4 linked regions of the Elephas maximus indicus genome follow. The protein of the gene in region 2 binds, or shares a complex with, the protein of the main gene of each other region. Links are inferred from orthologs where the notes say so. Each region holds a gene or a part of one and is shown on either strand. Other genes may lie near its edges. The genes, in order: TMEM67, TCTN1, TMEM107 and AHI1.

Region 1 (7,227 bases), on a different chromosome or scaffold from region 2:
GCAGAGGCTGGGGTCTGGGAATCATGGTTTTGGGGGACATCTAGATGGCCTAACAACGTTTATTAAGAAAATGTTCTGCATCCCACTTTGGTGAGTAGCGCCTGGGGTCTTAAAAGCTAGTGAGCAGCCATCTAAGCTGCATCAATTGGACCCAACCCACCTGGAACAAAGGAGAATGAAGAATACCAAAGACACAAGGAAAATATTAGCCCAAGAGACAAAAAGGCCACAGAAACCAGAGACTCCGTTAGCCTGAGACCAGAAGAACTAGACGGTGGCAAGCTACCATTAATGACTGCCCTGACAGGTAGAAAAGTGTGGAGCACAACTCAAATTGACACAAAAAGACCAGACTTAATGGTCTAAGACTGGAGGAACCCCCAAAGCCATGGCTGCTGGATGTTCTGCTAACCCAGAACTAAAACCATTCCTTAAGCCTACTCTTTAGACAAATTAGATTGAACTATGAAATATAAAATAATATTTGTGAAGAATGTGCTTTTTAGTTCAAGCATATACACGAGACCAAATGGGTGGTTCCTGTCCAGATGCAGGATGAGAAGGCAGGAAGGGCCAGGAACTGGTTGAAAGGACACAAGAAACCCAGGGTGGAAATGGAGACCGTGCTGTCACATTGTAGGGATTGCAACTAGTGTCACATAACAATATAAATTTTTGTATTAGAAATTAACTTGAGCTGTAAACTTTGACCTGAAGCACAGTAAAAAAGTAAATACATTCCAGTTTTTTCCCAAATTTGCATAAAATTTCACTGATGTACCAAAATTTACTCTAGTTAAAACAAAGTAACCATAATACTTTCAAAGTTTGTGGGAAAATATTAAATATTAATTTTAGTTTAAAAAATAAAGACATTTTATGTACTTTTTTTTTTTTTTTTTTACAGTAGAATGATTTAAAAATAAATACTCCATACCATGTTTTCTGGGCACTTTTTACAAATAACGACAGATCCTCCATTATTAGAGATCATCTGAAATCCTGGTAAACACACACATGAAGTTCCTAAAGAAAAAGAGCCAATTTTGCCTTTGGTAAATAAAAATAAAACTCCAAGATCAGAGAACTTTTAATAATTCTTAAAATCTTGAGAAGCAGTATAGTGGTTAAGAGCAAGACTCTGAAATAATACAGCCAGGGTGCAAATCCAGAAACACACTCCTTAGGTTCCAATTTTGCTTCTGCTACTTAGCAAGTTACTCAACTTCTCAGTGCCTCAGCTTCTTCAGTAAAATGGGGATAATAACAGTACCTACCTCATAGAGTTAACATGAGTGTGTCTGGCACACAGGAGGTATTGTGTTGGCTACCATCTTAAGTGCAAAAATCCATTCCCGTAGAGTCAGTTTCGACTCATAGACACCCTACAGGACAGAGAAGAACTGTCCCACGAGGTTTCCCAGAAGCGGCTGGTGGATTTGATCTGCTGACCTTTCGGTTCGCAGCCGAGCTCTTAACCACTGTGCAAGCATAACTAAACTATTATGCTATTGAACTATTAAACTAATAATCAAACTACTGATTAACTGATCTGGGAAAATTTACATTTCCGTCACTCAAGCATACACATATATTCAATGAAATCAAATGTACTTTGTCAAAACAAACCTCATTATTACGAAAGTTGCCTTGATTCAACTCAGACACTGTTTCACTCTGCTTGGGCACATAGTAAACATTTTAAGATAGTCAATATTCAACTTTCTGGTTAGGTTAAGTGCAGCATTCTCTAAGTAGATGGTAACTGGAAACAGCACCCATAGTAATTAATCTATGTACTACAATGCATACAATATCTGGATTTATGATTACAAACCTAATACCTTAAGACTATACCCAGCAAAAAACCCTTAACACTAGTCTCTGAAATGCTTTTTCATTCATTTTTCCTTGCCTGAGTGGCCTGACCCATCTTGTGTGATGAGCAAAACCAGGATGTATTCAACTTGAAGATTTGATCATGAATTTAGAAGATGTAAGACTTATTCAGAGCAGTTTCTGTAAGAACTCGGACCAAATGATGGACATTTCAGGGGAATTTATTTCTTTTAGTTTAACTTAAAACGACTTTAAGAGCAATAAGAAATATTCAACAACAGAAAAGGCTAAGTACTAAGGAAATTTACAATATTAGGGTCACACTGTATAGTGGACATACACAGTTCCACACTAAGAGCAAAGAGACAAGAGTTCTTCCATTTCCCAATTTAGGTAACACAAAAGACGTTATAACCTCCTCTGGGTTTCAATTTCTTTATCTGTAAAATGAGAAGAATGGATCTGATCATGATTACAGTCCCTTCCATTTCTAAATTACTGGGATTTGAAAAGCAAGATAAAGCGCTTTAAAAGTTTACAAATGCTAATCTGCATCCCCTTCCCAAACCTCCGCATCTCAGATTATTTCTCTACAATGCCTTTCCTTCTCTGCGAGCCGCTATCCAGGTGTTGCCCTAACGACCCCCGGGTGAGGAGTGGGAGACTGGAGCCGAGAAATGAATTACTGGGAACCGCTCAGGAGATAGCGGACTCGGGGTTCTCCAACCTCATTAGTGTGCTAAACGCAATCCTCCGAAGAAACTGTTCCCTCAGGCGTCGGCAGTTACTTTTTCTGAAACATCCCTATAGCAGCTGAAAAGGCGTTTCAGCGCTGCCGGGGTCTGGGGGTGTCACCAAGGCTGGAGCGTTACTTTTGCCAGGGCACAACCCAGACCGTCTCACCTCCGGCGTCCTGCCTCTGGTTGGCTCCACACGGAACGCAGGAGAGGGCGGAGATATCGAAGTACTGGTTATGGCTGCACGATTCTGGCTGCCGGAAAGGTAAAGAGAAGGTCTGGGCTTGTAAGACTCGAGGGAGGGCCAACAGGAGGAGCGCCGTCAAAGCCGCAGCGGACAAAGTGGGCCAAGCCGCCATTGCCACCCCAGCACCACCGCCACCCGTCGCCATGGTGCCGACGCCAGCGGCCGCTCCGGCCCTGGGGCCCCATCAGCCTCCGCGGCGACTCCGCCCAGCTTATTGGACAGCTTCCCCAGCACATCCCACCCAGGCCCCGGTCCCGGAAGAGTAGGCCTCTGCTGCCTGGTTACCAAACCCGCGGGAAGCTGGCGTGTCTGGGGCACGGTAGGTTAGAAAAAAAAGCAGGGGCTATTTCAAACAGTGTGGTTCAAACTGATTTAATAGTGAAACGTGAAATCAGTTTATGAGATCAAGAAATAGAATAGCACAGGAAAGAAATTATCTTATTGTGTCTTATACATAAGGTCGTCATGAGTAGGAGCACACTGGATGGCAAACATTGTTTCATAAAACCGTTAAGTTAAATATTAATTTACACCCGAATTTAACCAACCCAAACCAACCCGTGGCCGTCTAGTCGATTCCGACTCATAGCGAACCTATAGGGCAGGGTAGAACTGTCCCACAGGGTTTCCAAGGAGTGTCTGGTGGATTTGAATTGTTGACATTTTGGTTAGCAGCCTTAGCTCTTAACCACTACGCCACCGGGGTTTTCCAGAACTTATCCAGACTGAGTAATTTTCATGTCGAAGAAGACATTCCAACTATGCATTTATTACTATGGATAAGATCAAAAAAGTATCAATAACATTTAAAATATGCAATGCTGGAAAATTGCTATGCCTGAAGCACGAAAAAAACAAAACAAGGGAAAAAAAAAAAAAACCTGCCAGAAGTTTGTTTTTTTACTTCCCTTGCTTTGAGCATTGGAAATTGTGTATATGGAATGAGACCCTCTTTATACCGCTGTGAATAAAGTAGGAATCTAAATTTTTATCAGATTTGCACATATATGAATGTTCTTTCAAAGTAGTCACCCTTGAGGCAGTTACCTGCAACATATTGGAATTACCTTCAGAGCCAGTGTACGGGACACAAAAGAAAAACTCATTTCTTTATTTTATTTTATTTTTTTGGCTTTAACAAAGAGAAATTTATTTTCTCACAGTTTAGTAGGCTACAAGTCCGAATTCAGGGTGTCAGACCCAGGAGAAGGCTTTCTCTTTGTTGGCTCTGGAGGAAGGTCCTTGTCGTTAATCTTCCCTTGGTCCAGGAGCTTGTCAGTACAGAAACCCTGAGTCCAAAGGACTCGTTATTCTTCTGACTCTTGTTTCTTGGTGGTATGAGGTCCCTCATTTCTTTATATTTAAACTGCATTTCTGTTTTTGCGACTGCTGTATTTTGTCTCTTCAATAAAATCATCCTAGCCTATTTTTAGCCACCTTTTCATCAGTGGTAACTTCAAATGATTTTTGACTTTTTCAAAAAAAACAAATTTTGTAATAAAAATGGTTTGTCACTATTAAGATATGGATAATGCATTTAAGAAAGTTAAATAACTTTACTAACCACCATTGTTGTTGCATGCTGTTGTGTTGATTCTGACACATAGTGACAGGATGGGATAGGTAGAACTGCTCCATGCGTTTTCCTAGGCTGAAATCTTTATGGGAGCAGATTTCCGGGTCTTTTCTCCACAGAGCCGCTGGTGGGTTTGAACCGCTGACCTTAAAGGTAGCAGGCCAGCACTTAACCATTGTGCCGCCAGAGCTCCATTACCATTACCACATGTGGCCTTCCCCAAAAGACCAGCATTCACCCAGTTCTAATCTCTGGCACAGCAAGTGTATGTTTTGAAAACTGTTTCTAAGAGGAACTCCAAAAATGTGTTTGAGGTTAGAATTAAAAAAAACATGTGACCATGCAACAAACCCATGTGACCACAGAGACTCAGAAAAGGCATGGTTAGAATAGTTAGAATAGTTGGGATTAATCTGCAAAAGCTTCCTATGGGTGAGTTTTAAATCTAGGCTTCCCTGATGAAGTGCATATTGCTCATATGCTCTGTGGCAGGGATTAAAGCAATATTTGCTCATTGTCTACTATATAATTTAATAATAATAAAAAGTTCCCATTTATTACTGACCTTCTTTGTCTTCCACACTGTGCACTGTGCTAGTCGCTTGGCACCATTAATCTTAACTGTTCATAACAACCCTTTGAGGGAGAACTACCCCTGTTTATTAAAAAAAAAAAAAAAAAATAGACAGGATCAAAAAATGTTAGTAGTTCCACTGTGTTAGGAATTAGTGAAACTAGGATTTATCTCCATTTGGCCAACTGCAAAACCCACTATGTTTTCACAGTATTAAGTGTCTTCTTTGTGGAATAAATGTAAAAAATTTTGGCATATTCCACATGTGGAATAAACCATTAATCTTTAGCTAACAAGGTGGTACTGCCATTATATACCACAGACAGCGGCACTATGATTGTGTAAGAGCTTTGAACACTGTACCTAACAAACTGCCCTAATAACTACATGGAGAGTTTATCTGTAACAGAAGCACTTGAAATAGACAAACACAGTTAAGTTTGCGATAACTGCAGATACTATGAGTTCATCTCTGTAAAGTGGCTCTGTAAACTGGCAGAAAAGAATGTTAGCTAAAATTGTTTAAGCATAAGTTGGGGCTGTATTGTTAGGGATTTTTTTCTTTTTTTTTTTTTTTTACTGTGTATTTTGAATATTATAGAAGTACCATTCATAGATAAATTTCACTTTATAGGAAGTATTTAACCAAAAAATTGTTCTTATCACTGTTATGGTAATATAATTTTCGACATGCAGTAAGAAACACAGTGACTTTTATAAAATAAAACATGGTGGAATTTTTAAAAATTGGTAATTTGGAGTTGGAGGGAAGAGTGAGCTTGTCCTTTTAGGTTTTTGATGGGGAAGGATTAAATTAAAAAAAAAAAAAATCTGTTGTCATTGAGTTGGTTCCTATTCATGGCGACCCTAAAGCACAGAGTAGAACTGCCCCATAGAGTTTCCAGGAAGTGCCTGATAGATTTGAACTGCTGACCTTTTGGTTAGCAGCCATAGCTGTTAACCACTGTGTCACCAGGGTTTCTTGGGGAAGGATAGATGCCTACAAAAAACTGATGAGCAGGGCATGCCTAGAATCATATAGCTGATGATGCTGGAGAAAATACCAGAAACTGTTCTTGCCCTAGAGTAACATGGCTCAACTCCAGCACAACCTTCCTAAAGGGCACTCATTAATGTGCATTTAAATAATATTTAGACATATTTGTTTTCCAATAAAAAGTTTAAATTTGACCAACTTTTAAGAGTATTACTTCTAAGGCCTACGAGCTGAATCTGAAATTCACCTGCATGCAGAAAAGAAAAACAAAAAAAATTTTTTTTAGGTAAGAAATTGATTTTGAAGTGATCAAAATACTTATGTTAAATATCCGTAGTTAGAAACAACCAGCATGTAATTTAGCAGTTGAAAAAAATACCATTTTGAGCTAGAAATACGGAGAGTTGATATATTATTTAACAATGCAGAGCCATACTTGAAACACACTTGAACTGATTATTATAATAAAGAGTAACAGCAGCATTCAATGATGATAAAGATATTTTTTTTTTTATTTAGGGTTGCTATGAGTCAGAGGAAACCCCGGTGGCATGGTGGTTAAGTGCTATGGCTGCTAACCAAAAGGTCAGCAGTTCAAATCCACCAGGCACTCCTTAGAAACTCTATGGGGCAGTCCTACTCTGTGTTATAGGGTCGCTATGAGTTGGAATAGACTCAACCGCAATGGGTTTGGTTTTTTCTTGGATGAGGTGGAATGGACTCGATGGCAACAGGTGTGTGTGTGTGTGTGTGCGTGTGTGTGTGTATTGACACCATTGGAAACCCTGGTGGTGTAGCAGAATTTGAATTGATTTGATGGCAATGAATTTGTTTTTTGTTTTTTATTGTCACTATTTGATATCAACATCTGATTTTCATTCTGATATATGCAAAAAAATTTTTTTTTGAACTTTTTTCTGACATCCAGTCTTTGAGTAACCAATGACACAAAGGGAAACACTTATTCCACAAATTATATGTACATTAATCAAATCATTCTGTGATATTTTACTTAGCCTATAAATATGTATTTATTGTTTAATTGCCTAGATTGAAATCCACCTCCTATCAATATCATAAAGGCTTTCCTTGTTAATGACTTCATTTTTAACAAAGTCAGGTAACTGTTAAAACTTCAAAGCTTTTGAAGGTTCTATTTTGAGACTACCACTGGAAAACATTGCTAGCAACTTACTGATTCTTTGTGAACTTAGGGAAATAATTTTCTGTTGAAGTGTACCTCTCAAAAACAGATAA
Region 2 (7,173 bases):
CTCTTAATGTCTACATGCCTGCATCGTAGAGTAGGGTACTAATGAGCAGAGCTCAGATTCAAGATGAACAGTTACCACTCTTCTCTTCCACCAACACTGGCTGCAACCAGTTTTGCAAATGGCTGTCCAGTTCTCTACTGGAGCCAGCTTTCTGCTCCACCACTTACCAGCCATGTGGCCTTAAATTAAGCAAGTACTTCGCCTATCTGAAAAATAGTGATAACGTCATAGGGTTGTTACGAGGGTGAAGTGAGATATATCACAGCTGAAATGCTTACCACAGTGCTTGCCACATAGCAAAACCAAAAACCAAACCCATTGTTGTCGAGTTGATGTCAACTCATAGCCACCCTATAGGACAGAGTAGAGCTGCCCCATAGGGTTTCCAAGGAGTGGCTGGTGGATTTGAACTGCTGACCTTTTGGTTAGCAACCATAGCACTTAACCATTGTGCTGCCAGGGCTCCACCGCATAGCAAGCTGTTAATACATGACTGTCATTTATCATTACTGTCACAGGCCTAAAGTATTCTTTAAAAAGATGACGATCGGTATAAATTAATCCCCTATAATGGCAAAAAGAGCCCTGAACCCAAGCCCTAATAATGACGGCTCAAGAATAGCTTCATTTGGGAGAGAAAGCACATTAACAGGTGGAGGACTAACGTAGATAAAAGACAAGCCAGCTCCAAAAACCTTGGAGAATTTTGGGTGTTGAATACTTTGCTGTATTCTGTCACAATTTATCACTGATTTCACTTCCTTACTAATTCACCAATCAACAGTTTAAATATGAAACAGAATTCTGTTCATATCTATTAAACAACTATACTTCACCATACTTTTTCAGACAAACCACTCATGATTTATAAGGGAGGCCCCTTGGAGAAATAACAGTTCAGTTATTAAAGTTAAGTCCTAGAGTTCAGAATGCCAGCCAATAATGACTTTTCTAGTTAGTACTGAGACTTACTCAATTTAAGAAAAAGTATTGTTTTCTTAAGTGGGGATAAAACCTACTGCACACCTCTTTCAACCTTCACAGTCAGATAACCTATCCAGCTATTTATCTACTTAGAGGTCTAAACTCCTTTGAAGATCTACTGATTGCTAGGGACCCTCATCCCAGAAAAATGCGTGTTCACAAGATTTTGCACTCAGTCTCAGGGGGTCATAGACACCCCCTAAGTCATCCATGGCAAATCAGATTATAAAATACTCACTAAACATGTAACTGTCCGATTCCAGGGACACTTTCTGAGAAATGTTAATCAGCTCTACATATTAATCTTAAAAAGTGGGCAAAATCCCTCACCCCATATCTTCCCATGGCAAACTTAACTAAAGAGGAATCCAGAGTTTTCAGAATTCAAGTCGATAGACGAGGGCCTTGACATTTAGAAAACTAGACCTTTGGAGTCTCTTTAATACAACTAAAAACTCCGAACACATTCCATCCATTTAATTTCCACAACTGTCTAGAAACTTCTGATTAAATTTCATCTGCCGCTGGAAGGCTGCAACGCTTTATTCAGTATTTATTACCTTTAACATTAATATTGCCCAAGAGCTCTGCTAGTGCTTTAAAATATTTGATTTTGCACCATTACGCTCTCCGAGCCTCGGTTTCCTCATTTGTATAACGGGGACCCTATCATCTACCTCTCAGGGTTGTTGGCAGAAATTACATAACGCCTGTGAAACACTCGGCAATGTCTGGCACACACTGAGTGTGCAGTAAACTTTAGCTATCATCATTATCATTACCCTCTCCTGGCTGAATCACTGTGGAGCCCAGGAGTTGGCACTTGGTACCCACCGTCCGTGACCGGGGTGGGCCGGGGACCGGAAGAGGGGCCCCGCGCCCTGGGAGTGGCAGGGGGCCCAGACGGCGTGGAGGCTCCGAGAGTCGCCAGGGCTGCCTCGGTGGAGCTGAGGCCCTCCGTTGTCACCGCCGGGGTGGTCCCCGTCTGGGCCCTCACCGGGCTCCAGCAGCCCAGGAGCAGGAGCAGGAGCAGGAGCAGGAGCGGCTGGAAGCCCCGCGGCCCCATCGCCCTGCAGAACCCCCGCGCGGTCCTTGCGGTGGACAGCGCGTTGCCTGGCAACCGCGGTGGCCGAACGCGGGGCATCACGGGAAGGAGGGCGCGAAGCCGCGCGACATGGCGGAAACGAGGGGCGGGGAAATCCCAGCTGTCGTTCTCCAGCTCGACTGCGGCTCTTCTATGCAGATTTCCGGGTTCCAACCAGGAGACCTTGATTGGGTTGGCGTCGCGCAGGGTCCTGGAATCAGGATTTTTCACAAGTGCCCTGACGCCACCGGTGAGGGGACGGAACTTTGGCAACCGCTTTCTTTTTTTTTTGTCCTGATGCTACGAAATACGAGTCCTTTGAAGAAGTATGGGCGTCGCACCACCGTCCTTGAATTCTCTCCATCCAGAACGCGCTCGACCCAGCCTTTCCCTTTTTTGTTGTAGACGCATCCCGAGAGGTCTCCAAGTAACTTCTGTCCACCGCTCTGTGGTAAGGGGGACAAATGAACACTTAATGACTTTTTTAACTGACAAAAATTAAATAGAATGATTTTCAGTCTTAAAACACAAAGCAAATCAACTGTAATCCTACAAAGTGATAAAGAGACCACAAGACTTAGAGGGAAGTCCCTTCATCCTAAACTGGTTTATTTACAGAGGGGACCCGAACCCACGGAGGTTAGTTATACCGTGGACAAATAATCTCACATTTAAGAAGCAGATGTCGAAATACTTAAACGTATCATGGTATTTATTCAAGAAACATTTATTTACCAATTCAGAAAGATGCCAAAACAGCACATATACCTAGTTTATTAAATAAAAAATATATATATATAGCAAAACTAAATCATCAAAGCAACATCTTTAGCACCTTCCTGTGGCATTCCGGAGAAAGCGTAGAAAAATATAGCTGGATCACTCATGGGTGGCACACAGTTCCAACTTTTTCTTCATAGCATTGCTTTGGCATCTGACTGAAATTCTGAACCACTTTTAATAACTGATGAAACTTTCCCTCAAAAAAAAAATTTTTTTTTCCAAACCTCCATCTCATAATTGCTAAATCGAGGACTTTTTCTTTTTTAAACCTTCTCCTCATTTCCAGGATTTCACTCTCTTTTTTATTGCTTAACATCTGTGAATCACTTTGTCCTGTTTTCTGTTTTGAAATTTTAGGCTGTTGTTGCATTAGACTTTGATGAAGTGCTCTTTGGCTTTAACTTCTTTTTTTTTTTATCTTCATGATTATATGACCTGTGAGTTCCTCTTCAAGTCTAACATCCTATGATTCCAACTAGGACACAATTTGGGAAATAATCTCATCATACCTTCTTGTCCAATCTCAGTCAGTACATAACCAAAAAGTCGTTTTATGACATCTTACCAAGTCGAAATAAGGGTTACATCAACTCAGATACACTTTGCAAATCTTAGGAAAACTGGATCTTTCATTTCACAAGTGACCTGTTTCTGTCAGGTGATACCCTCTTGAGCCAGGCTTTTTTCATCTTTCATCCCAGAGGATCCTTTCTCCCTTCCTTCCGCCCTGGCCTTAGCAGGTTACCTCATTTGGATGGAAGGACACAAAGAGAAGTTAACATCTGTTCCCTATTTTTCCAACACTGCAGTGTCTGGGTTATTCATAAATGTTTGTGATATAAAATGTCCATCTGTTTCTCTAGGGTTATTGGCATTCTCAATTCCTTAGAGTCTGTGCCAGCCTTAGAAGGACTAAAGACATTTCAGCTTTGGAATTTTGTGCTTGGAAAATGTTGCATATGAGGAGCCTGAAAAAGCTAAGACACAGGAGTACCTGGGGGTGGGGGGTGGGGGGGGTTAAGGCTTTTTTTGCAAGGCACAAGGCAGTGTTAACCACTCCTCATATTCTTTGGTGTCTTCTGAGGTGAGCTGGTGGTTGTTGTTATTATTATTATTGCTACAGTCATGGCTTCTAATCTGTTTAAAATTAGGTATCATTTTTTTCCTGCTAATAAGTATAATAGAAACCCTGGTGGCCAGGGTGCTACGGTTAAGTACTCAGCTGCTAACTGAAAGATTGATGGTTCAAACCCAGCCAGCGGCTCCGCAGGAGGAAGCTCTGGTGATCTGCTCCCATAAAGATTGTTGTTGTTAGATGCTGTCGAGTCGGTTCCAACTCATAGCTACACTATGTACAAGAGAAGCAAACACTGCCTGGTCCTGCGTCGTCCTCACAGTCATTGCTATGCTTGAGCCAATTGTTGTAGCCACTGTGTCAGTCCAGCTCGTTGAGGGTCTTCCTCTCTTTCACTGACCCTCTACCAAGCACCATGTCCTTCTCCAGGAACTGGTCCCTTCTGATACCATGTCCAAAGTACATGAGACAAAGTCTTGCCATCCTTGCTTCTAAGGAGCATTCTGACTGTACTTCTTCCAGGATGGATTTGTTCATTCTTCTGCATTCCATAGTACATTCAGTACTCTTCACCAACACTGTAATTCAGAGGCACCAATTCTTCTTTGGTCTTCGTTATTCATTATCCAGCTTTTGCTTGCATATGAGGCGATTGAAAATATCATGGCTTGAGTCAGGTGCACCTTAGTTCTCAAGGTGACATCTTTGCTTTTTAACACTTTAAAGAGGTCTTTTGCAGCAGATTTGCCCAATGCAATACTTCGTTTGATTTCTTGACTGCTTCTTCCATGAGCACTTTGTGGATCCAAGTAAAATGAAATCCTTGACAACTTCAGTCTTTTCTCCATTTATTATGATGTTGCTTATTGGTCCAGTTATGATGATTTTTTGTTTTCTTTATGTTGAGGTATAATTCATACTGAAGGCTGTGGTCTTTGATCTTCATCAGTAAGTGCTTCAAGTCCTCTTCGCTGTCTGCAGGCAAGGTTGTGTCACCTGCATATTGCAGGTTGTTAATGAGTCTTCTTCATATAGTCCAGATTCTCAGATTAATTGCTCAGCATACAGATTGAATAAGTATGGTGAAAGAAGACTACCCTGACGCATACCTTTCATGTTTTTAAACCGTGTAGTTTGAACAACTGCCTCTTGGTCTGTGTGCACATTCCTCATGAGCACAATTAAGTGTTCTAGAATTTCCATTCTTCCAAATGTTATGCATAATTTGTTGTGATCTACATAGTCAAATGCCTTTGCATAGTCAATAAAACACAGGTAAACAACTTTCTGGTATTCTCTGCTTTCAGCCAAGATCCATCTGACATCAGTAATTATATTCTTGTTCCACATCCTCTTCTTGACTTTCTGGCAGTTCTCTGTTGATGTACTGTTGCAACCATTTTTAAATTATCTTCAGCAAAATTTTACTTGTGTGTGATATTAATGATATTGTTCAATAATTTCTAGATCCTGTTGAATTAGTTTTCTTTGGAATGAGCACAGATATGGATCTCTTCCAGTCAGTTGGCCAGGTAGCTGTCTTCCAAATTTCTTGGCATAGGTGAGTGAGCACTTCCAGTGCTGCATCCGTTTGTTGAAACATCTCAATTGGTATGCCATCAATTCCTGGAGGCTTGTTTTTCGCCAATGCCTTTAGTGCAGCTTGGACTTCTTCCTTCAATACCATCAGTTCTTGATCGTATGCTACCTCCTGAAATGGTTTAATGTCAACCAATTCTTTTTGGTACAGTGACTCTGTGTATTCCTTCCATCTTCTTTTGATGCTTCCTGCACTGTTCAATATTTTGCCCATAGAATCCTTCAATATTGCAACTTGGGGCTTAAAATTTTTTCTTCAGTTCTTTCAGCCTGAGAAATACTGAGCATGTTCTTCCTTTTGGTGTTCTAATTCCAGGTCTTTGCACGTTTCATTATAATACTTGGTCTTCTAGAGCTGCCCTTTGAAATCTTCTGTTCGGCTCTTTTACTTCATCTTTCTTCCACTTGCTTTAGCTGCTTTACGTTCAAGAGCAAGTTTCAGAGTCTCTTCTGACATCTATTTTGGTCTTTTCTTTCTTTCCTGTCTTTTTAATGACCTTGTGCTTTCTTCATGTATGATATCCTTGATGTCATCCCACAATTCGTTTGGTCGTTAATGTTCAATGTGTGAAATCTGTCCTTGAGATGGTTTCTAAATTCAGGTGGGATATACTCAAGGTCATATTTTGGCTCTTGTGGACTTGTTTTGATTTTCTTCAGCTTCAGCTTGAACTTGCATATGAACAATTGATAGTCAGTTCCACAGTCAGCCCCTGGCCTTTTTCTGACATTTTTCCACAAATGTAGTCGATTTGATTCCTGCTTATCCCGTCTGGCAATGTCCACATGTATAGTCCCTATTTATGTTGCTGAAAAAAGATATTTGCAGTGAAGAAGTCGTTCGTCTTGCAAAATTCTTTCATACAATTCCAGCATCATCTGTCACCAAGGCTATATTTTCCAACTACTTGTCCTTCCTCTTTGTTTCCAGCCTTCTCATTCCAATCACCAGTAATTATCAATGCATCTTGATTGCATGTTTGATCAATTTCAGACTGCAGAAGTTGGTAAAAAAATCTTTGGCCTTAGTAATTGGTGCATGAATTTGGATAATAGTCATATTAAATGGTCGTCCTTGTAGGTGTATGGATATTATCTTATCACTGACAGTGTTGTCCTTCAGGGTAGATCTTGAAATGCTTTTTGACGATGAATGTAACGCCAATCCTGTTCAATCTGTCACTCCTGGCGTAGTAGACTACAACATGATTGGCAGATTCAGGAAGGCCAATAACAGTTCATTTTAGCTCACTAATGCCTAAATATCAATCTTTATGCATTCCATTTCATTTTTTACGACTTCCAGTTTTCCTAGATTCATACTTCATACATTTCATGTTCCGATTATTAATGGATGTTTGCAGCTGTTTCTTCTCATTTTGAGCCGTCCCACCTCAGCAAATGAAGATCCCGAAAGTTTTACTCCATCCATGTCATTAAGGTTGACTCTGCTTTGAGGAGGCAGCTCTTCCGCAGTTGTGTTTGAGTGCCTTCTAACCTGAGGGCTTATCTTCCAGCCCTATATCGCTAAAAATATCACTAGTCTGTCTTAATCTGGAAGCTCCACTGAAACCTGTCCCCCATGGTTGACCCTGCTGGTAATTGAAATACTGGTGGCATAGCTTCCAGCATCCCAACAACACACAAG
Region 3 (7,071 bases), on a different chromosome or scaffold from region 2:
CATAACAAAAACTGAAAGAAGTGATCGCCAGTAAAATCAGATAGGAGCAATCAGGATGTTGCTGGTCCTGATTACGCGGAAACGTTAATCACGGATCATGCGAGCTCCAAATCATCATTTTAAATCTGCTCTCCAAAAGGAGAAACAGGTAAGGATTAACCTTACTGACGATAACCTGAAAACCTTACCCACTCCGCACTCAATGAAAAAAATTGCGCTTACACCTAGGGTGAGCGTAAAACTCATTCGCTGAAGCTACCTAACGTTATTTAAGGCTCCTCCGTTTCTGTAGCAATCTTTCTTTGTGGATTTTTAAATATACTTTTTTTCATTCGCTTCCGAAAAAAGAATAAATCAACTCTTCCCAGAATGCTCCGCGTAATCACTTGCTGAGCCGGAACAGTGGCATCCCCTTATTTACATATCCCCACCCACTCCCTTCCGCCAGATGTCTACCGTAATAACCAAAATAAAAGGTACTTACTGCCAGGCGCTCCTTGGAAACTCTATGGGGCAGTTACACTCTGTCCTACAGGGTCGCTATAGGAATCGACTCGACGGCACCGGGTTTTTTTTACTATCATACAGTCTGCAAGGCTGGAAAACAGTCTTCCGTTTCTTCAGTAGCTTGGCCACCCCAAATCTCCCTTGAAATTTTTATAACTCTTTTAAAAATATATTTTATTATGTTTTAGGTGAAAGTTTACACAGCAAATTAGGTCCCCATTTGACAATTTTTATACAAATTGTTCCGTGATATTGGTTACAATGTTCACAATGTGTCAGTATTCTCACCTTTACTTTTGGGTAAATGATAGTCTCATCTGGTTGATTTTTTTTAAGGGAGTACATTCCTCAGGGGTGATGTTGTTTGAAATTTTTAACACAAGTCTTGATCTTATTAAAAATATATTTTATTACAAAATACTACATAAGACGTGAATAATCCTAGACGCGGAAGATAATCATGCCAACGCTGACATCCTCCTCTAGATGCAGGTGCAGGGCGAGGACGGAAGTCTATGCCTTCCTGCTCCTGTTGCTCCAGCCTTTGCCCCTCCATTCCCGTCATTAAGGTGATCACAAAGGTTTCTTTTTCAGTCCAAAGACGGTGACGAATAATGCCATTTCAGTGACCGCTGGGAGGGCGCTGTGGGAGGTAGGTGGTGGATTCAAGGACCCTTAATAAAAATACCCAAATCCCCAAACCAGAGACCCCACCGCCAGCATGCAGTGGGGAATATTTCAGGATGTTGAGTGGATCTGGCATCTCACACATGGAGGACACCTTCAGATTTGAGGTAAACCTTCCTCTCCCATTCCCAAATACCTTACCTGCAGAAGACAAAAATGTACCAGTACGTGGTGCACTCCCAACGCTCAAATATGAAGAAGGATAGGGCCACGGATGCACTACAGTGTGCCCCGATGGCTTGGGCACACCCTAGAGTCAAGGAAAGCCTTGGGATGGCAGGTAGTGATGGGCCAGAAAAAGCCCGTGGTGGGGCTGGCACCTGTGCTCAGGTTAATCTCTAGCTGCCTCACCACACTGCAAGATCAGAGCCTGAAGCCTTCTGAGTTGTAGAACAGCCTTCTGAGTAGAAGCCAGAGGTGAGGCTGCACACCTGGGATCCCAGGCTACTCCCACCCAATCATTAGGGGGCAGCCTGAACCCTCCAGGTGAGGTAAGAGCAGGTTCCCCACCTACCCCCAGGCCACACAGGCATGCTCACAGCAGCCTGATGCTGTTAGCTGGAATCCCCCTCCACCTCCCTGGGACTCCTGGCCCACAATTCAGGTGTCAAGCCGCTCTCCTGATCCATGTCCCTCACTTCCTTTGTCTTCTCTGAGTCCCCATATTGCTTTATACCCTTCCACAATCCTACAGTGTAGTGCTGGTTGTATTGCATTACCTTCAAGGTAGAGATGTTTTACCCCCCTTTCTGGATCTCCAGTGTCTGGTGTATAGCAGGGACTTAACACATTAATGAAGACTGTATTAAATCCCTCATACTGTCTGTCTAAGAAGATCTCCCAACTGGAAAGATTTTGTCTGTGCCTTAGGACAAACACTATTGCGCCAGAAAAGCCTAGTCAGGCGGCTGGAAATGGGCCGTGTGGGAAAGGTGTGCAGGTGGAAAGGATACAGATGAGGCTCTGGGTGCTGTTGAACATGGAAACTCCTGAGAAGAAACCGGCCAACTCCACTGCAAAGAGGCCCAGGGTGACAGAGAGAGCTGCCACCAGCCTGTAAAGAGGAAGGGTGCTGGCTCAGCCCTTGAGGCTTTTTTCTAAGACCCCTCCACTCCGACCACCGCTTCATTCTGACCATCCCGCACAAAGAGCTCACTGAACATCCTGCTTCTCGTACTCCTCGGGGGTGAATGTGAGAGGCAGGCAGGCCTGGATGTTGCTGTCCTGGGGAGCCGGGCAGAGAGGAACAAAAGTGTGAAAAAGGGGCCGGCTGCGGGTCCGGCGTGAGGCGGCGGGGGATGGGGGAACCCCCGAAAGGGCCGATGTCAGAAAGTCCTAGGGAAGGGGCGGGGTAGGACTGGGACTATCCTAGGTGGGGCTAGGGGTGACAAGCGGGCGGCCGTAGGTCTTACCCGGGACCAGAATAAAGTGATGACGATAACCAGATGTGCCAGGAGCGTCAGGAAGCGAGAGGGCACGAATCCGGAGACCCGGCCCATGGCCCCCGGGGGCAGGGGCACTGGCCAGAGCAAAGGCCGTGGTCTCTGAAGCTGGAAGCTCTCAGTGGGTCCTGAGGTCCCCGCACCGCCCGCCCGCGCCCACCAGCGCGGAGAAACTCGTATTCCTCCTCCCCTCCCGCGCTGGCACCGCCCAGTTGCCTTGGCAACTGCGTAAATAGGCGCTGGGCCACGTTCTCTAGAAATCTCGCGAGAGCAGTAAATTCTCGAGCCGCCAGGGGCTTCCAGGGCAGCGTGGGTCCGAGATCCGCTGCAGGTGGTCGCGAGTCGGAACTGAGTTGACTGGCAGCTCCTCGATGGCAGCAGAGCCGTCTGCCCCTGAGACTGTGCCGTGTGGCGTGGCCTGGCACCGCCGAATCTACCCGGCCGGGCGGGCGAGCAGAAACCCGGCCTGCTCTAGCCCGGGGACAGCCCCTCGTCCCCAGATGCTCACACAGGGAACGACCTAGCCCCCAGCCCCGGCTACGGTGCGCCGGATGACCCACCACTGGAGACCGCTGCCACTGCCACGCCGGGTTTGGGACACTGGCGTGTATGTACAGATAGATAGACAAAGATAAAACAATGTCTGGGTGAAAAAAATAAAACACATGAGAATTCCTTGTAGTACTTTTGCAGTTTTTCTATAAATCATTTTAAAATACAAAGTTTAAACCAACACACCTTCCAACAACAAGCTATTTTGTAGATATCGACAAAATAATTCTAAGTTTATATGGATTGCTTTGTAAATTTTGATTTTAATTTTGTTCTGTAATTATGTTAAACATTTATGTGGTTGCATAGTGAAATCTACCAAAAAAAAAAGTACATTGAGAGAAGTCAGGCCTCCATTCGTGTACCCTCCACCCTCCATCTCAGGTAAACCATTTTATTAGTTTTTGGTTTATCCTTCCGTTAAAAAAAAATACATATGTACACACTATAGCCAAAAACCAACCCCAATGATTCCAACGCATAGCAACCATATAGGACAGAGTAGAACTGCTCATTGAATATACCATGGACTGACGGAAGGACAAACAAATCTGTCTTGGAAGAAGTACAGCCAGAATGCTCCTTAGAAGCAAGGATGGCGAGACTTTGTCTTGCTTACTTTGGGCATGTTATCAGGCGTGACCAATCCCTGGAAAAGAACATCATACTTGGTAAAGTGGAGGGTCAGCAAAAAAGAGGAAGATCTTCAGGGACATGGATTGACACAATGGGCTTAAACATATCTAATACTGTGAGGATGGCACAGGACTGAACGACATCTCATTCTGTTGTAGATAGGATCACTATGAGTCAGAGCTGACTCAACAGCACTTGACAACAACATCTATGAGGCAGATAGAAAACCGAGGCACAGAGCAGTGTATTTACCTGCCTGAGGTCACAGAGCCTGTAACTGATGACAGCACCAAAACCAAACCATACCCAGTGCTGTTAAGCAAACCCCAGTCTGACTTAAAAATCTGAGCTTTTAGCCACCAGACTCTTACCTCTCATCAGTCCTGACTATAATTTGTAATCATTTGATTTATTACTATACTCATTTATTATGTCTCTCCTACTAGAACAAAACGAATACAACAAATAAATGAAGTTCCCTTGAGGTCAAAGCCCAGGAGAGCCACTGCCATTCCGAAATGTGTGTAGGGGCTTGTGGGAGGAGGGGTAGTAGATCAGCAGCTACTCAGCTTCAATCAGTTGTCTTAAGGGAAACTGAGTCCAATGTTGCCAGATTCCTTGCTTGTTTGTTTTTTCTGAGAGACCAGAAATCCAGCTTCTTATTTCAATTCTAAATGTTGGTCTTCAATTTAAAAATGAAAAAAATAACCATGATGGCAATACAGTACACCAGGCTTCAACCTCTGGACCAGCACTATCCAATAGAACTTTCTCTGATGATGGAAATATTCCATATTGTCTATGTCTAATATGGTAGCCAGCTAGCTTCATCTGGCTATTGAACACTTGAAATGTGGATAGTGGGACTGAGAAACTGAAATTTTTTTAAAAAATTTATTGGGATAGCCCCATGTGGCTAGTGCCAGCTCTAGAAGTCTCTTTCTGTTAGTTCTGGGAGAAGGTCCTTGTCATCAGCCTTTCCCTGGCCTAGGAGCTTCTCAGCACAGGAACCTCAGGTCCAAAGGATTCAGCTCTGCTTTCTTGGTGGTATGAGGTCGCCCTCCCCACCTGTCCCCATCCTTGCTTCCCTCTTTTATATCTCAAAAGACATTGACTCAAGACACAACCTAATCTTGTAGATTGAGTCCTGCCTCATTAACATAACTGCCTCTAATCCTGCCTTATTAACATCATAGAGGTAGGATTTACAACACATAGGAAATTCACATCGGATCACAAAATGGTGGACAGTCACACAATACTGGGAATCATGGCCTAGCCAAGTTGACACACATTTTGGGGGGATACAATTCAATCCATAACAATTACCGATTTACAGATGTAGGCCCTGAGGCACAGGGAGGTTCCATAAGTAGCCCAAATTACACAGCTAGTAAGTAGCAAAGCTCGTATATAAATCCTAGCAACCTGGTTCCAGAGCCCACATACTTAACCACTATATTACTTGACCTTGTGGGCCAACCTTCATCCAAAAGGTGATGTGGCACTGATTTTAAGCTAAGGAGTGAGGGAATCATGTTTGAATTTTACAAAGATGATTCTCTTGACTATTCTGGAGGCAAGGAGAACAGAGAGGAGTCTATTACAATAATGGGTCAAAAGAAGCTGGGGCTTGTCAATGGGAAAGGAGAATGAGGACTGACAGGAGAATTATTAAGGAAATTGGCAGGGCTTGGTGGCTTATTGGAAATGGGAATTGCGGGAAAGGAAAGAGTCAAGGTTGAGTCCCAGCTTCAGCTTTGCCACTCACTGAGCGTGCAGAAGGACTGGGAAAGGATGACAGGGTCAAGTAGAGGTGTCTGAATCTAGAAGTGGGGTGGTATGGAGAGGGAGTGGGATCCAGGAGCCCTCAGCACACAGAGATAGCTGAAGCCAGGGAGCATGCATGGCTTGAGGAAAGAAGACAGAACTGGAAAATGAGGATTTAAGGTGAGGACAGAAAAAGAGGGATGAGTGAGGTGGGGCTGGGGGAGGAGCGGGTTAAGGGACGGCCAGCAGACAAGTGTCCTGACAACCAAGGGAGAAGAAGATTCTTAGAGGAGATGTTGTCCTGAGTCCAGTAAGGCCAGGCGAGAGGAACATCTGTGGGCTTTGACATTTCTGTGGTCCCTTAAAACTTTCGGTAGGGCCACTGTGCACAATGTGCAAAAATTTGGCTTGGAGGGCAAGGAGCGAGATACTGTATGACCTTCTCTCACATGTAAGCCTGTTGAACACCTCTCATCCTTCAAGACACAGTCGGAATTTCTTCCAGTTCCGGCTGTTCCTCTGCAGAAGTCCCAGCTCTGTCTAGCTACCCAGTTGCTGTCTTCTGACTGGTGGTGACCCCAAGTGTCTCAGAGGAGAACTGTGCTCTGTAGGGTTTTCAACGGCTGATTTTTCAAAAAGTAGAGTTGAACCTCCAACCTTTTGGTTATCAGCCGAGTATGTTAACCGTTTGCACCACCCAGGGACTCCTCCGTCTCCCTAGTGGAGCTTTAAAAAAATACTGAAGTTTCAAAACGAGACTAAAAGGGGCACACCAGCCCAGGGGCAAGATCTAGAAGGCAGGAGGGGACAGGAAAGCTGGTAATAGGGAACCCAAGGTCGAGAACGGAGAATGTTGACGTGTCCTGGTGTTGTTAACCAATGTCATAAAACAATACGTGTACTAACTTTTAATGAGAAGCTAGTTTGTTCTGTGAACTTTCATTTAAAGTACAATTTAAAAAAAATACTGACATTCATGGTGATAGAAATTAGAACAATGATCGCCTCTGGGAAGCGGGGGTGGATTGGGAAGGGATAGGAGAGAACTTTCTGGGGCGATGAAACCATCCTGTATCTTGAAGAGTTGTGGGTTGCGCAGGTGTATGATTTTGTCAAAATTCATCAAACTGCATTTCATTGTATGTAAATTATACAAAAATATCTACCCTGGACCATTTAAATCAGAGTCTCCAAGCCTGGGGCTTGTGCGTGGCTATTTTTTAACGCTCCGCAGGAGATTGTAATTTGCAGCCGGGGAGAAGGTGCACTGATGGAGGAGCTAATCTCTCACTTCTTCAGGCTCTGGAATGGCTCCGTCACACTCTGCCTGGTATCTGTCCTTCCATCCGTTTCTGGGCAGGTCCATCCCAGCTGGCCTGTGGTGACCAGCTCAGGCCCTCTTGGTTGTCTGCAGGACTCCAGCCAGAGTCGGGGTCGGAGGGACCGCTGAGCCTGGAGCCTGTAAAACCACTGCCCT
Region 4 (7,217 bases), on a different chromosome or scaffold from region 2:
CAGTTTGCTTCCATAAAGATTTATCACCTTGATAACCCTATGGGGCAGTTCTACTCTGTTCTACAGGATCGCTATGAGTTAGAATTGACAGGTTTGGTTTTAGAAGTGCAAATGATTAAGCACTAGGGTATTTATTAAAAGGCTGGAGGTTGAAGTTCACCCACAGGCACTTCCGAAGAAAGGGCCAGAGATTTATTTCCACTATTGAAAGGTCACAGCCATTGAAAACCCTATAAGCAGTTCTACTCTGACACACAAGGGGTTACCATGAGTCGGAATCCACTCAAGGACAACTGGCTTTTTTTTTTTTTTTTTTAAATAATTTTTATTGTGCTTTAAGTGAAAGTTTACAAATCAAGTCAGTCTGTCACATATAAACATATACACCTTACTCCATACTCCCATTTACTCTCCCCCTAATGAGTCAGCCCGCTCCCTCCTTCCAGTCTCTCCTTTTGTGACCGTTTTGCCAGTTTCTAACCCTCTCTACCCTCCCATCTCCCCTCCAGACAGGAGATGCCAACACAGCCTCAAGGGTCCACCTGATACAAGTAGCTCACTCTTCATCAGCTTCTCTCTCCAACCCATTGCCCAGTCCCTTCCATGTCTGATGAGTTGTCTTCGGGAATGGTTCCTGTCCTGGGCCAACAGAAGGTTTGGGGACCATGACTGCCGGGATTCTTCTAGTCTCAGTCAGACCATTAAGTCTGGTCTTTTTATGAGAATTTGGGGTCTGCATCCCACTGTTCTCCTCCCTCAGGGGTTCTCTGTTGTGCTCCCTGTCAGGGCAGTCATCGGTTGTGGCCGGGCACCATCTAGTTCTTCTGGTCTCAGGATGATGTAAGTCTCTGGTTCATGTGGCCCTTTCTGTCTCTTGGGCTCATAGTTATCGTGTGACCTTGGTGTTCTTCATTCTCCTTTGATCCAGGTGGGTTGAGACCAATTGATGCATCTTAGATGGCTGCTTGTTAGCATTTAAGACTCCGGACACCACACTTCAAAGTGGGATGCAGAATGTTTTCTTAATAGAATTTATTTTGCCAATTGACTTAGAAGTCCTCTTAAGCCATAGTTCCCAAACCCCTGCCCTTGCTCCGCTGACCTTCGAAGCATTCAGTTTATTCCGGAAACTTCTTTGCTTTTGGTCCAGTCCAGTTGAGCAACCAGCTTTTTAAAAAATATTATGTAATAATATAGCAGATACATAACTGACCTAATCATTTTTCAATGTTACTGTGTACTACAGAAAAAAACATTACAGAATTAGTGACTACTATTTAATGGACAGCGACATTATCTGACTTAAGATCAGAAGTTAAGATCAGATTAAAAAAGAGATCCCTGAACCTCATAACCCAAACCAAATCAAACCCACTACTGTTGAGTCAATTCCCACTTACAGCGAAGTGGGAACTGACTCAACAGTAGTGGGTTTGAAACCCTGGTGGCGTAGTGGTTAAGTGCTACAGCTGCTAACCAAAGGTTCGGCAGTTCGAATCCACCAGGTGCTCCTAGGAAACTCTATGGGGCAGTTCTACTGTGTCCTATAGGGTCGCTATGAGTCGAAATCGACTCGATGGCACTGGGTTTGGGTGGTTTTGGTATACATGCCATTATTTTAAAACTTCTTCCTCAGATACCTTTTTCACATAAAATGATTAGAGATACTAAGTAAGAAACATAACTGGATTGTTTCAGCTCATTTTAATTTTCCCTGATCTCCTGATTTTCAACTGTCAATCAGTAAGTGACTAAAGATCAAGGGGAAAAAAAGCAGAGAGGCTTGGATGATTCACTCCTTAATCAACTTTAATAGCAAGGAACAAACAAAATTCCCATATAAATAATTCAATTAATAAATCATCAACAAACCCTTTACCATGGAGTTGATTCCAACTCATAGAGACCCCATAGGGCAGTACAAGTGCCCCACAGGGTTTTCTTGGCCATAATCTTCATGGAAACCCTGGTGGTATAGTGGTTAAGTGCTATGGCTGCTAACCAAAGGGTCGGCAGTTCGAATCCACCAGGAGCCCATTGGAAACTCTATGGGGCAGTTCTACTCTGTCCTGTAGGGTCACTATGAGTCAGAATCGACTTGACAGCACTGGGTTCCTCTGGGTAATCTTTATGGAAGCAGCCTGCCACATTTTTCTCCTGCAAATCAACAAGTCTTCATAAACAATATTCTGAATGTGGTTTTAAAAAACTCTTTTGGTATTTGAATTTTTCAAATATTCTTTTAAAAATTTCCCAGGGTCCTCATAACAAGCAATCTTTTTTTCCTGAAAACCTAAGCAATAACAACAACCATTAATGCAACAGGTGAAATAACTGTTGCCATGTCTTTCTCAAAAAAAGTAAAAGCATATACGCCAGTCTGTAGATGATTTCACAGCAATGCTGAAATAAGGCCCAACCATTTGGTAGGGATTCCTAAATTATCAACTCTTTTTCTATTTTTATGTATACTGAAATGACCCTATTACACCTTTTATTTTTTAAACAAATATAACATTCACCACCGTTTTTCAGATGTATTTAAGAAGGCATTTCACAGGCTCAAGATTCAGCACCAGGTTGACACTATAAAAGGAAATAAACATACGCATCTGATTTTAAAGCGTTTAAGCTTGAACCGGGAGCAGTAAAAGCAAGAAATGCGTTCCCTCTTAGGACACCACGCTAACAAGTCACGAAGAGAGTCTTCCACGGAAGGGAGCGGAAAAGTGCGTAGAGGTGTTTCTCAAAAATCACATCCCTCCCCTCCCGGACGCCTGGCAGTGGCGCAGTGCGGCCCCAGCCCGGCCAAGCCGGCACTCCGCCCCCGCGCTCAGACCACATCAGTCCACGCAGTCGAGAGGGCCCGGGCAGGACGAGTCCCCAGCCCTGGGCTCCCACCACCAGCCCGCCAGCCACGTACTCACAAAGCGGAGGGCGCAGAGCTGCTGACCGCCTGTCCCGCCAGAGCCGAGCCCGGGCGGTGGGAAGCGGCTCCCGGCGCCAGGCGAGGTGGGCCGGGAGCTGGGCTGCTACGCAATGGCCCAGCCGCCAGCGACCCAGGATCTGCAAGCGAGCCAGATGCCGCAGTGTGGGCAGTGCACCCTCCTCCCGCCGCTGACGTCAGCGCTAGCCTACGCCGCCGTTCCCATGACAACCGATGCAGCCAGTGCTCTCTATCTGGACCGCAGTCTCTCTTCCGCGCCCCGTCCACGGCCCCGCCCCCGCACCGCCTACGCAGCGGCCCGCGAGGTGCCGCAGTACGCCGCCTGCGGAGGCAACGCGCGCGCGTCCGCTGGCCTGCGGCTGGCGGGCTGACGGGCACGCGCTCCGGGGGGTGCGCGGGGCTCCTCTAAGCTGGGAGCAGGATGAGAAACGGGTATACGCGGTGCTCGTCAGAGCCTGAGCGCGTTTCCACCCTCGCCCCGGAACAGGGGCTTTGCGCCTCAGAACTGCAACAAACGCTGGGAGAAACAGAAGGGGGAAAAGTGAGGCGGGGAGGCTATCGTGGATGCCGCCAAGGAAAAGAAACGTGAATGAAGCAAGAAGCAGGCGCCTCATCTCCCACGCGTTCGCGCCCACAAAAAAAAAAAAATGCCTAAAACGTGGAGAATAGTTGTACTACAGACAAAATCTTAGAGAAAAAATTAATCACTACTCGTCTAGCGGTGAGCTCTCACTGTTTTTAAAACAAAACAAAAATTAAAGCGTCATTTTTTATCTCACGTAATAACCCCGCCCACTTACTTGTGCCGCAGGCGCCATCTTTACCTCTGAGTCAGCAAGGGTGGAAAAATACTAGACAAGTTAAAACTCCTCCGTTCTTGAATTAGAGGCCATTTTCTGCAGTGGTAGTCAGACGTGGTAACCTGTTGCTTCGTTTGTACAGTGAAAGCGTTATCCATCTTTCTGTGGAGGCCAGACTACATTGCCATTGGCTTTCCATTCCACTTTACAGTCCATTCTACACAAAATATATCTCATTCGTTTCTTTAAATCCTGTGAAATAAGCAGTGAGAAATATTATCAGCCCAATGTGTCCCAAACTGAAGTCTTCAACTTTCCACCCAAAACCTCCCTGTCTGGATTTCATCTTGGTTTATGGCACCACTATCCAACCAGTGATCTAGGCAGATACTTGGTGCTGCTGTTAGCTGCCATCCAGTGACCCCAGCTCTTGAATGCATACTGATAAAAATAAATGAGCTTTTAAAAATGGGAGATAAAGCTCTTCCTTATACTAGAATGCCACTAATAAATGAAGGAGGAAGTGATGCAGGTACAAAAATCACTGGGCAACCTGTGTTAGTTATCTAGTGTTGCTATAACAGAAATACCACTAGTGGATGGCTTTAACAAAGAGAATTTTATTTTCTCACAGTTTAGTGGGTTAAAAGTCCAAATTCAGGGCATTGGCTCCAGGGGGGAAGGTTTTTTTCTCTCTGTTGGCCCTGGAGGAAGGTCCTTGTCCTCAATCTTCCCATGGTTGAGGAGCTTCTCAGGCGCAGGGATGCAGTGTCCAAAGGACACGCTCTGCACATGGTGCTGCTTTCTTGGTGGGATGAGGTCCCCCTGTCTTTGTGTTTGCTCTATCTTTTTTGTCTCTGTGCTTGCTGTATCTTTTAAGTCTCAAGAGAATGCTTCTAGACACGATCCAATACTGGAGGTTGAGTCTTGCCTCACTAAGACAACTGCTGCCCGTACTCCCTCAATTAACATCATAGAGGCAGGATTTACAACATACAGGAAAATCACACAACACCAGGAATCATGGTCCAGCCCAACTGATAAACACACATTTTTGGGGGGACATAATTCAACCCATGACACAACCATTACAGTAAAAAATGATTAAGGCAAGAATCATCAATGGATGCTAAAACTAGTGGGTGAGAGTTTTAAGAGGAACAAATTATTTGCATAGTCTCACATTATCTCTGCACAAAATACTTATGAATTACAAAGGAAAAAAAATAGAAACTTGAAGAAATCCGGCACTGGTAATCAGAGTTAACAGTAATGGGGTGAATTTACATCTTGTGACACTTGGTAAGAGTCACTTCAAACACATTTCTGTGGTATTTCTGCCAAAAAGGCATAACCTGAGTCTAATCATGAGGAAACATTAGTCAAATTCAAATTGAGAGACAATCACAAACCTGTATTCTTCAAATGTGTCAAGGTCATGAAAGATAAGGAGTGAGTAAAGAACTTTTTCAGATCGAAGGAGACTAAAGAGACGTGACAACTAAATGGAACACATGACTCTGAATTGAATTATTTGGCTGTAAAATACATTATTGGAACAAATGACAAAATTGAAATGAAATCTGTGGATTACGTGATAGTATTTTAACAATATTAATTTCCTAGTTTTAATGACTGTACTCTGGTAATGTAGGAGACAGCTTTGTTTTTATAAAAAACACACTGAAGAATTTAAAGGTAATGAAGCATCATGTCTGCAACTTAATCCAAAATGATTCAGAAATAAATGTATATATAAAGATAACAAATATAAATAATGAATATAGATAAAGAGTCTGGGTGGCATAAGCAGTTTGCAATCGGCTACTAGCCTAAAGGTCAGCGATTCGAACTCAGCCAATGTCTTCACAGAAGAAAGGCCAGGTGAACTGCTTTTGTAAAGTTTGCAATTAAGAAAGAAAACCCTATTGAACAGTTCTACTGCGTACTTATGGTCACCGTGAGTCAGAAGGCTGACTTAATGGAAGCTAACAGCAACAACAATATATCTAGACAGAAAGACTAATAGAGCAAATGTAGTATGCTAACAATTGGGAAATTTGGGCAAAGGAATTTGAACAAAGTTTTTATAGTATTCTTTCAATTTTTCTGTAAGTTTAAAATTATTTTAAAATGAAAAACAAATGACTTAAAAGCACCTGGGATTCTGGCTCCAGTAACTAGATGAAGAATGATTAATCAATTAAGAATGGAAAGTCAGGAAGAAGAGCAAGTTTGGGGGAAAAGATGTTTAGTTTAAGTGAGATATATCCAGTTATCCAGTAACAGTTGGAATATGTTGTTGCTGTTAGGTGCCAACGAGCTGGTTCCAACTCATGGCCACTCCATGTATAACAGAACGAAGCACTGCTCAGTCCTGTACCATCCTCACAATAGTAAGTATGTTTGAGCCTGTTGTTGCAGCTACTATGTCAATCCTCTCATTGAGGGTCTTCCTCTTTTTTGCTGACCCTTTGCTTTACTAAACATGATGTCCTTCTCCAGGGATTCGTCCCTCCTGATAACATGTCAAAAGTATGTGAGATGAAGTCTAAGGAGCATTCTGGGTATACTTCTTCCAAAACAGATTTGTTCGTTCTTCTCGCAGTTCGTGGTATATTTAACATTCCTCACCAACACCATAGTTCAAAGGCATCAATTCTTCTTTGGTCCTCTTATTCATTCTCCAGTTTTCTCATGCATATGAGGTCATTGAAAACACCATGGTTTGGGTCAGAGGCACTTTAGTCCTCAAAGGACATCTTTGCTTTTCAAGATTGAAAAGAGGCCCTTTGCAGCAGATTTGCCCAATGCAATACGTAGTTTTATCTCTTGACTGCTGCTTCCATGGGTATTGATTGTGGATGCAAGTAAAATGAAATCCTTGACAACTTCATTTTGTAGTGTAATTGAATATTCATGATGTTTATTATGATGTTGCTTACTGTTCCAGTTGGGATATAGTAAGCATATTATAATCAGTCCCAATCACACCGAAGAAAGCAGATATACTGCTTTTGTGTTGTAAACCCAGAGTGCAAGACTTAGGTCGCTCGACCATCCTAGGAGAGGCAGGCAATTAAGAAGTGATAATGGAGAATCTGTCACAAACAGTTAAGCGCTAGATTACTAGAAAGGCTGGCAGTTCAAGCCCACCTAGAGGTGCCTCAGAAGACAGGCCTGGCAATCTGCTTCTGAAAAGTCACAGCCTTGAAATCTCTATGAAATAGTTTCTGTACACATGAGGTTGCCATGAGTCAGAATTGACTGGTTTGCAACTAACAGCAACAACAAAGGTATTGAATAATGTTAAGGACTATTTGTTAACTTTGTTAGGTAAAAGTGGTTGTTGTTGGATGCTGTTGAGTCGATTTGGACACATAGCAACACTGTGATGGAGTAGAACCACCTCATAGGGTTTCCGAGGCTATAACCTTTACAGAAGCAGATTAGCAAAAGCTTTCCCCCTC

The links.
Region 1: TCTN1 (region 2) and TMEM67 share a complex: the UniProt entries of both Homo sapiens proteins name them as parts of the tectonic-like complex. The link is inferred for Elephas maximus indicus from reciprocal best matches to the Homo sapiens genes TCTN1 and TMEM67.
Region 3: TCTN1 (region 2) and TMEM107 share a complex: the UniProt entries of both Homo sapiens proteins name them as parts of the tectonic-like complex. The link is inferred for Elephas maximus indicus from reciprocal best matches to the Homo sapiens genes TCTN1 and TMEM107.
Region 4: TCTN1 (region 2) and AHI1 share a complex: the UniProt entries of both Homo sapiens proteins name them as parts of the tectonic-like complex. The link is inferred for Elephas maximus indicus from reciprocal best matches to the Homo sapiens genes TCTN1 and AHI1.

What each region holds. Positions count from the first base shown.
Region 1 is NC_064833.1:48,229,772-48,236,998, forward strand, and holds the start of TMEM67 (meckelin), read right to left. Parts: upstream 3,002-7,227; 5' UTR 2,969-3,001; coding exon 2,743-2,968; intron 1,027-2,742; coding exon 938-1,026; intron 1-937. UniProt on the Homo sapiens protein: Required for ciliary structure and function. Part of the tectonic-like complex which is required for tissue-specific ciliogenesis and may regulate ciliary membrane composition.
Region 2 is NC_064840.1:9,152,953-9,160,125, reverse strand, and holds the start of TCTN1 (tectonic-1), read right to left. Parts: upstream 3,012-7,173; 5' UTR 2,904-3,011; intron 2,515-2,903; 5' UTR 2,129-2,514; coding exon 1,819-2,128; intron 1-1,818. UniProt on the Homo sapiens protein: Component of the tectonic-like complex, a complex localized at the transition zone of primary cilia and acting as a barrier that prevents diffusion of transmembrane proteins between the cilia and plasma membranes.
Region 3 is NC_064837.1:12,589,603-12,596,673, reverse strand, and holds TMEM107 (transmembrane protein 107), read right to left. Parts: upstream 2,827-7,071; 5' UTR 2,694-2,826; coding exon 2,607-2,693; intron 2,419-2,606; coding exon 2,351-2,418; intron 2,249-2,350; coding exon 2,148-2,248; intron 1,433-2,147; coding exon 1,336-1,432; intron 1,151-1,335; coding exon 1,081-1,150; 3' UTR 505-1,080; downstream 1-504. UniProt on the Homo sapiens protein: Plays a role in cilia formation and embryonic patterning. Requires for normal Sonic hedgehog (Shh) signaling in the neural tube and acts in combination with GLI2 and GLI3 to pattern ventral and intermediate neuronal cell types.
Region 4 is NC_064819.1:205,069,978-205,077,194, forward strand, and holds the start of AHI1 (jouberin), read right to left. Parts: upstream 3,016-7,217; 5' UTR 2,928-3,015; exon of another isoform or gene 2,924-2,927; intron 1-2,923. UniProt on the Homo sapiens protein: Involved in vesicle trafficking and required for ciliogenesis, formation of primary non-motile cilium, and recruitment of RAB8A to the basal body of primary cilium.